2 linked regions of the Notamacropus eugenii genome follow. The protein of the gene in region 1 interacts with the protein of each later gene in a biochemical or structural test. Links are inferred from orthologs where the notes say so. Each region holds a gene or a part of one and is shown in the gene's direction. Other genes may lie near its edges. The genes, in order: LOX and ELN.

What was found.
Region 2: the proteins of LOX (region 1) and ELN form a complex in vitro, tested with the Homo sapiens proteins (2 studies listed by BioGRID and IntAct). The link is inferred for Notamacropus eugenii from reciprocal best matches to the Homo sapiens genes LOX and ELN.

The regions. Positions count from the first base shown.
Region 1 is NC_092874.1:344,826,868-344,830,777, reverse strand, and holds the start of LOX (protein-lysine 6-oxidase), read left to right. Parts: upstream 1-1,323; 5' UTR 1,324-1,638; coding exon 1,639-2,356; intron 2,357-2,738; coding exon 2,739-2,847; intron 2,848-3,910. UniProt on the Homo sapiens protein: Responsible for the post-translational oxidative deamination of peptidyl lysine residues in precursors to fibrous collagen and elastin. Regulator of Ras expression. May play a role in tumor suppression. Plays a role in the aortic wall architecture.
Region 2 is NC_092873.1:49,376,882-49,380,791, reverse strand, and holds the start of ELN (elastin), read left to right. Parts: upstream 1-1,494; 5' UTR 1,495-1,613; coding exon 1,614-1,695; intron 1,696-3,910. UniProt on the Homo sapiens protein: Major structural protein of tissues such as aorta and nuchal ligament, which must expand rapidly and recover completely.

The DNA.
Region 1 (3,910 bases):
GATAAAACAAATTTTCCTCTTCTTTCTTTCAAAAATCTTTGTTATAAGCCATGACTTCACTAGGGAGAAGATAGAATTGGGATATATTCAGCAATGAATATGTGATATACAAACAAAAAGTCACCATTAAAATGAGTTATTTTTGAAATCTTATTTTAATCAATACTTTACAAGTATTCACCTTTTAGTGTCAATTTTCTTTTGAAGTTTCCAGCACTGCTAAAATATAAAAGTCATATGTGAGCAGGCACACTCCATTTGCCAACAAATTCCAGTCGGAATTATTGACCCTTCTTCCCATTCATCTTCCCACTAAAGACACTCCCTAGTTCTCAGGAAAATCTTGTGCGGTTTGGAGACTTTTCAGACAGAAATCCTGATGTCTCCTATTATTTATCATTGATACACTAATGGCATCGAACATTTAATAAATGGTCATAGAAATAAAAACAAATCCCTCCTCCTCTATGTAGAGGGAGGTGGGAGGGAAAGGAAATTTCAGTTCAGTTGTTAATTTACAGCCGAATTCTGAACAATTCCTATTTAACAACCTCTTCTAAGAAGCACTGTCAAGATGAAAGATGATTTTCCGCATTTCGATAAAAGTAGACCTTTGGGTTTAGTTTTTGAAACAGGGAGATGGGTTTATTTATTCTGGTTATGGATTTCAGAGTCAACTGCCCTTCTCCCATGTGAAAATTCACTTAGAAATTTCACTGCTGGATATGAATTTGTAACCAATTTCTCATGTTACCTACACACAGAAAAACAAAATTCGATAGCTCAGAGTTTACAGGATGAGAGGATTTCCCATAACTGAGAGCATATTGGGAAATATGCTTTGTTCCCCCTCCTGAGCAGGGAATTCTTAGCCAGAATATTTTCCCCAAAACATGTTCCCTCCACTCCCGTCGAGTCTAAGTCTTCCTACCTCCCCCTTTCCAGTCTTTCCTGTGTTTGATGACCTAATAGCATTTTTCCCTCTGCATACTTTGGCACACTCTCATGGTCTGGCTGCTTGAGTGTGTCTGAGTCCACTGAAATTCCTGCATGTTCGCCCAAGATTAAGATGTGGGTCGCGTGTGTCTCTAGCTGGATATGTATTCTTTTTTGTTCTTTCCCGTTAAAGAAACCTCTCTATGTGCAACGTGTCTTGGGGGGAGGTGGTTAGGAGGGAGGGGGCAGATGTGAGGAACTGTCAGACTTGCACGTTTCCAATCGCATTACGTGAACAAATAGCATAGGAGCAGCCCTGCCAAAAAACGCTTGTGTAACTTTGCAAATGTGCCAGAAAGTTTAAAATCTCGCATCCCTCCTCCTCCTTCCTTCACTCCAGACACCAGCAAAAGCAGGACGACGACGATGAGAGGCTGCCCGCTCGCTAGAACTCCTGCCCTTCTCCCCATCCTTCTTCTATAAACACTGGGAAAGGGGGGGCTCGGGGAAGACGCCACATCCGCGCTGTCTGTTTTGTTTTTTACAGTCTACACTCTATCTTGGGCGCTCCTTAGGTAGCTATTGAAATACGTCGATAGACGGTTTTTCCTTCCCTCACAAGTGACTTTTTTTCTCCTCCCTATTTTTATTTCCTGAAGCAACGCTTTTCGTGTCTGCGGAGATTAAAGGAGAGAGCAAGAGATGCATTTGCCTTCACCCGCCGTTGTCCTTGTTCGGTTCCATCTGTGTGTTCACTTGGGCTGCATTTTGCAAGTAGCCTGCCAGCAGCCCCGACGAGACCCTCCTCCCCCGGCTGGATGGAGGCAAAGGATTCAGTGGGAGAACAACGGGCAGGTGTTCAGCCTCCTGAGCCTGGGCTCTGAGTACCAGCCTCCGCGCCGGAGGGACCCGGCGGCTGGCTCCGCCGCTGGTGCCTCAGTTTCCTCGCTTCGCCAGTCGCCAGTACTGCTGCTCAGAGACAACAGCACTTCTCCGCGCTCTCGCCCGCTGCCGTCTGTGGGCGCTCTGGTCCACGACCGCACGAACCCCAGGAGGCAACCGGCTGCACGGCACTGGTTCCAGGCTGGTTATCAGCCCGGGTCTGCGCAACGGCACCAGGGCGGACCGTCGGCGTCCACCTCCCCGGCGGCCACTGCCCCCACCAGCAGGAGCCCCGGGGGCCGAGCGCCTGGTTCCAGCCCGGCTGCCCAGGACCGCGACCAGAGCCCAGCCGGTAGCCGCCCCACCCTAAGCAACCTCAGAGCTCCCAGCCGAGTGGATGGCATGGTGGGCGATGACCCCTACAACCCCTACAAGTACTCAGACGACAATCCCTATTACAACTACTATGACACTTACGAGAGGCCACGTCCGGGAAGCAGGTACAGACCTGGCTACGGCACTGGGTATTTCCAGTATGGTAAGTGACAATCACAAATAAGCTGACGTGCAAAAAAGTTCGAGATATCTCTCCCCTCCCCGCCCCCCGCCCTCACAAAAACAGTCCATACAGCAAAGACCCGACTCAGCCAGAACGCCGCACCCGTCCATAGAAGTCTCTCTGACCCTCACAAAAGACTGTCACATAACCACTTGCAAAAATTCCGTTACTTGTCTTTTCTTCCGCCCCCATCCCTCCTTCTACCTAGTCTCAATACAAGCAGGGGTGTTAGTGGAAAGGTCCCAGTTTGGGGAGGTAGGCTTTGGAGAAAAGAATGGGTAGGAAGGCTAGACAGGAAGCCGGGGTTAGTAACTGGGTTTTCAAGGTGGTGGATTTCTGATTATTTTTGGCCGACTTGTAGGTCTCCCCGACCTGGTGCCAGATCCCTACTACATTCAGGCGTCCACGTACGTGCAGAGGATGTCCATGTACAACTTGAGATGTGCTGCGGAGGAAAACTGTCTTGCCAGGTAGGGGCCGGGGTAGTCTCCTGACCCAAATACAGGCTCTCTTCTTCTCTGCGCTGCTTCTGTCCTCCCGGAGTCTTGTCGGTGGCAGCTGGGGGTCCTGGAAAGGTGGGAGATGGGAAGTGAAGAAGACAGGACAAGCTGGGGATGATGAGATGAAAGAGAATGCTTTTTTGTGGGCCCTAGCTCGTGATCCTTCCAACTGTTATGCAGAAGAAGAGTGTGGCTTGGATTAAGACTGTTTACGTCCTCCCGAATCTTTGGAGTCCCAGGCTTATGGTCAAGTTTCAAAAGCGATGGGGTCTTGTTGACATGATTAAAGAAAAAGAAATTGTACTTGACCTGATAAAAGAGCCCACACACTTACCATGGGAAGCAGCCATTCCTAGTGAAATTGAATAAACCATCTGTAATTTGACCCTCCAAACTACCCCCCCCCCAAAAAAAGTAATTATAGAGTATGTTAATGACCTCTTAGAAGACTTAAACGTATGTTTGCGACTGTGGTCTCATTTACTTGGCAATGGTTGTTTTTTTCCTCTTTTGGTCGTAGCTGTAATGAACATGTTCTGGTTTTACTTCAGCCAAGCTTGAAACTTTGCTTTTTCAACAGCTTTAAAATAAGGACCCTTAACTTGGAGAATAGGGTTTGATGTTGAACAGCCAATAGGGGGAGCCCAAGATGCTCTGGAAGGTGCCACCAAAAAAAAAAAAAAAAAGTTAACATTGAGAAGAAATTCCTTGGCACTTCAGAGAATGGTAACATACTCCAACACTAACCCAAAAATGTATTTGGAGTTGTAACTCTATAAAGTAGGGCAAGGCTTAAGAAGCTTAAAAATGTGCTTTTTTTAAACAGCATAGTGCAACCATTCTGTTTGTATTTCAGAAAAAAAGATAGAAATTAAGTTATAGAATACATTTGTACATAAAAACCAAATCTTTAGTCATGTTTTATATACCTCATAATTCTTATTTTTACTGGACCTGAATTTTATTACACAAATAGAAGGAGTTCCTGGAGAGGAACTTGTCTACCAAAGTAAGAAAGTACCAACAGCTACTG
Region 2 (3,910 bases), on another chromosome or scaffold:
CTTCCCCAAACTATGAGGGTGGGATCATAGGATTAGAGTTTAAGGGCTAGAAGGGACCTCAGAGGCCATCTGGTGCATCCCATTTTACAGATGAAGAAACTGAGGCACAGGGAAGGTAGGTAGGTCATTTGCCCAAGGTCACACGGCTGGCGAGTATCCAAGGTGAGATCTGAACCCAGGTGCTCTGACTCTACAGCCAGTGCTTTTTCCACTGGGGGTTTTTTCTTCCTTTTTCTCCCCAGTCTACAAGTGATGTGGCTAAAGGATTCTGGCACCTGCTTTCTGGAGACTCTGCAAGGTCTTTAGCCCCAGGGGGAGGGAGGAGAGACCCCTAGGGATAGTCTGTGAGTTCAATCACTAATGCTGCACAGAGGCACTAAGCAGGGAGGGAATCCTACCTCTGAGACTTAGCATCTTGTAACCTTGGGCAAGTCAGTTCCCCTCTGTGTGCCTCAGTTTCCAAATCGGTAAAAATGAGGGGGTTGACCCAGATGGCTTTTAAGGTCCCTTCTAGCCTAAGATCCTGGATTCCCCTCTCCCTTAAGGCTGCTTGTGTCTGGACTTAGGACCAGATCCCTTTAAGCATGGCCACTGGGGCTGGCTCTAAGGACATCACTTTTCTGTAGACACCAGGATATCCTTCTTTCCCCCAACCCCATATCGTTCCCCTCTCCCTCAGTCACCCCATCATAGGATTCAGCAATGGAAAGGAGAATGGAGCTCATCTCATCCGATTCCTTCATTTTAAAGATGAGGAAATAGGCCCTGGGAAAGGAGCTATTTTCCTTCTCAAAGACAGACAGGTAATAAGTTTGCAGGGACAGGATTCAAACCCATGTTCTCTGAGTCCAAAGATATTGTCCCTTCCGTTCTCTCATGGTACTAGGTAGCAAAGAAAATGGGACCCTGAGGCTCCCTTTCCCCAAGGTCCCCCTCAGAGTATCTCTGCTTTTCCTAGGTCCCACCCCAAATCCCCCTCCCCAGCCAGGACAAGGAGACAAGAGGATTAAAGCGAGGGATAGGGTGGGCTGGAGTGGGGAGGGGGCTGAAAGGGGGCTAGGAATGGGGGGTGGGAGCTCCTCCCAGGCCTGAGGTGGCTGAAGTGGGGGTGTGGGGGGGGCCTTCAGGGCAGCTGGCCCTTGTCCCCGGGCTCTAGGCTTGGGGCCCAGTTGGGGCGGGGCGGGGCAGGGTGGGGCGGGCGCTGGGGCCTGGCCATCACGGGGCTTGGCTAGAGCCAGGGATTTTTGGCAAGGACTAGAGCCCTCCCCTTTCCTCTTGCTGAAGGCTGTTTTGGCAGCATCCCCCCCCTCCCCCCCCTGCTGCTTTCTGGCAGGGCCCTGGACAGGGCTGGAGAGAACAGCAAAAGAGAAAGGGGGGAAGCAAAGAAAGGAAAAAAACCCCAAATAGTCCAGTCTGGGGAGGTTTGTGTGTGTTGCCCTTTCGTAATTACGTCGTGTCCTGAGCTTCCCCCCCACCCCCCTCACCCCCCATCACACAGCCCCCCTCCCTTGTTCCTCCCCCTCCCTCTTTCCCTCACATCCCTTGTAGACAGCAATTAAGCATTGAGGATAAAACACACAGCCCGAGAGAGGGCTGAGGCTTTTCTCCCAGAGATGGCGAGTCGGACAGCTCTCTCCCTCCGGCCAGGAGTCTTCCTCCTCCTTCTCTCCATCCTTCACCCCACGAGGCAAGGAGGTAAGGGTACCCCCGATGGGATCAGCTCCCCAGTCCTGTCCTGATCTACACCATTACCATCCACGTTCTCCCTGTCCCATCCCCATCCCTACCCACCATCCCCATTCCACTCCCACTCTATCCCTCCCCTCTCTTCACAGTCCTGGGTCACCTATCAGAGAATCATCCATCTCTATTTCCCTATTTCTAGGGACTGGAGGGACAGGTGAGGTGTGTGTGTGTGTGTGTGAGAGAGAGAGAGAGAGAGAGAGAGAGAGAGAGAGAGAGAGAGAGAGAGAGAGAGAGAGAGAGAGAGAGAGAGAGAAAGGAGGAAAGGATGTAATGGGGCATCTCATGTATCACTGAGTTCTGTGCTCTGAACTCCGGGGATCCTCTCAAGGTATAGCCATCCTATGGATGTGCTTTCCTTGACCTGACTCTGGTGGGGAGTTCTCAGACAGAAAGACCCCACTGAGCAGAGGATGGGGTGCCACTAAAGTGAGGGAAGAGCTGCACAGTTATGCAGAAGCCTTCCACCTTGGGTTCCTAGAAAGGGCAGAGATACTAGAAGCACACCTCAGGGCAGGTGTCCAGCATCCTCTGTGTGAAGGCTGCCTCCTTCTCCTCCTCGGGATTATGAATCCCAGCCTGGAAGGGAAGGTCCTGGAAAGTTGCAGATTGGGGCTTGGGAGCACAGTGGACTTAGTCTGGGGAACCCCAAAGGCTTTGTCTCAGAATGGTGGGAAGCTAGAGCTGTGATCTTTCCTCCCAGGTTCTGTTTGGGGCTGGTGAAGAGTTTGCTCCAAGTTTAGTGGGCAATGTCTGCATGTCTGAGCAAAGGGTCCTAGATCTGGGTGTGTCCCCTCAGCAGGCAGTTTGGACACCTGCAAAGGGAGCACATGTGTGTACATGCCTGCTTGTGGCTAACAGGCAATTCTGCTAGGTGGGTGGGGTTAGGGGACCTGGACTGTAGTCCCACCCTAACATGCTACGTGACCTTAGGCAAATCCTTTCAGTTACCTGGATCATGGCTTTCCCCTCTGAAGGGGGAGGGGGGGTGCAATGAGAGGCACAGATGGTAAAGTGCCTCCCAAAGGTAGACTGGGAGGGACAGAAGCACTAAGCATATGTGACCATAGGGGAAGGTCTTCCTGGTCAGGCTTATGAGCTACGTGTGGCCAAATGGATGCCACTGGGCAGATAGATTGATTTAGGTGTTTCTGGCAAGGTACACGTGTGTGACACCAGGATGGGAGTGGGAAATGGCTGAATGTGTGACCCAGTACATGTCACTGAGCAAGTGTATATATATGTGCAACTGTGAAGACAGAACCAAACATACGCCACTGGGTAGATGCGTATCAATGAGCAGTTGTGGTATTTATGCGCATGTGTGCATGTCTATGTTCTTGCACAGATATCCATGTGTATGTGCATGTTATGGGAGCAGACATATGTGTGTGTTCCCGGGCAGATGTGCGTCTGTGTCTGAGTACATTCAGAAGATGAAAAATGTCATTATCTATCATATCAGCCTGATTGGGTGTGGAGGCTTGTCTGGCAGGGGAGAGGTGGAATCGTTGACCCTGATGGACAAGGAGCAGGGAAGGCATACAGAGTATCATGATGCTGTCTCCTCAGTCCTATGCAAGAAAGCAGAGGATACATCTGGTGTCCAGAAAATGTGAGCTAGAAATGGCAGGAATGCCATCGGATGCCCACAGAGGGGATCTGGTGACCAGCCCCTTGGTGGGGGGCAGAGGAGAGAGCCTTCCTGTTCAGGGAAGAAAGCACTGGAGTGGGATGAGAGAGGCCAGCAGGGAGATGAGACATCAAAATAGTCAGTCTCAGGTAGGCACACCAGACAGGGAGGAGTGGGGACCTGAGGGGAGATTACAGAGGGTCATGTGGACTTGGGGAAACTGAGAGAGAACAGGCCAGCTGAATCCAGCACCAGCCACATCAGCAGAGAGATCCATGTTTGCAGGAAAGCACTTGGGAGGCAGGAAGCAGAGGTGCCCAGCTGGAGCCCAGATGGGTTCCAGGAAGAATAGGAAGGCTGGGCATCCTCTTGGCTCGCTGTTGGCTCCTTTTCTGGGTTTCTCTGCTTTCTGCCTCTGGCCCTGCCCTGATCACCAAGAATGTTGGGTGAGATCGCTGTGGTACAGGAGGACATACCCACACCAGGAATGAAAGAATGATTAAAAGTTATAGGCTAGGAACAGGAGGGAGGGGA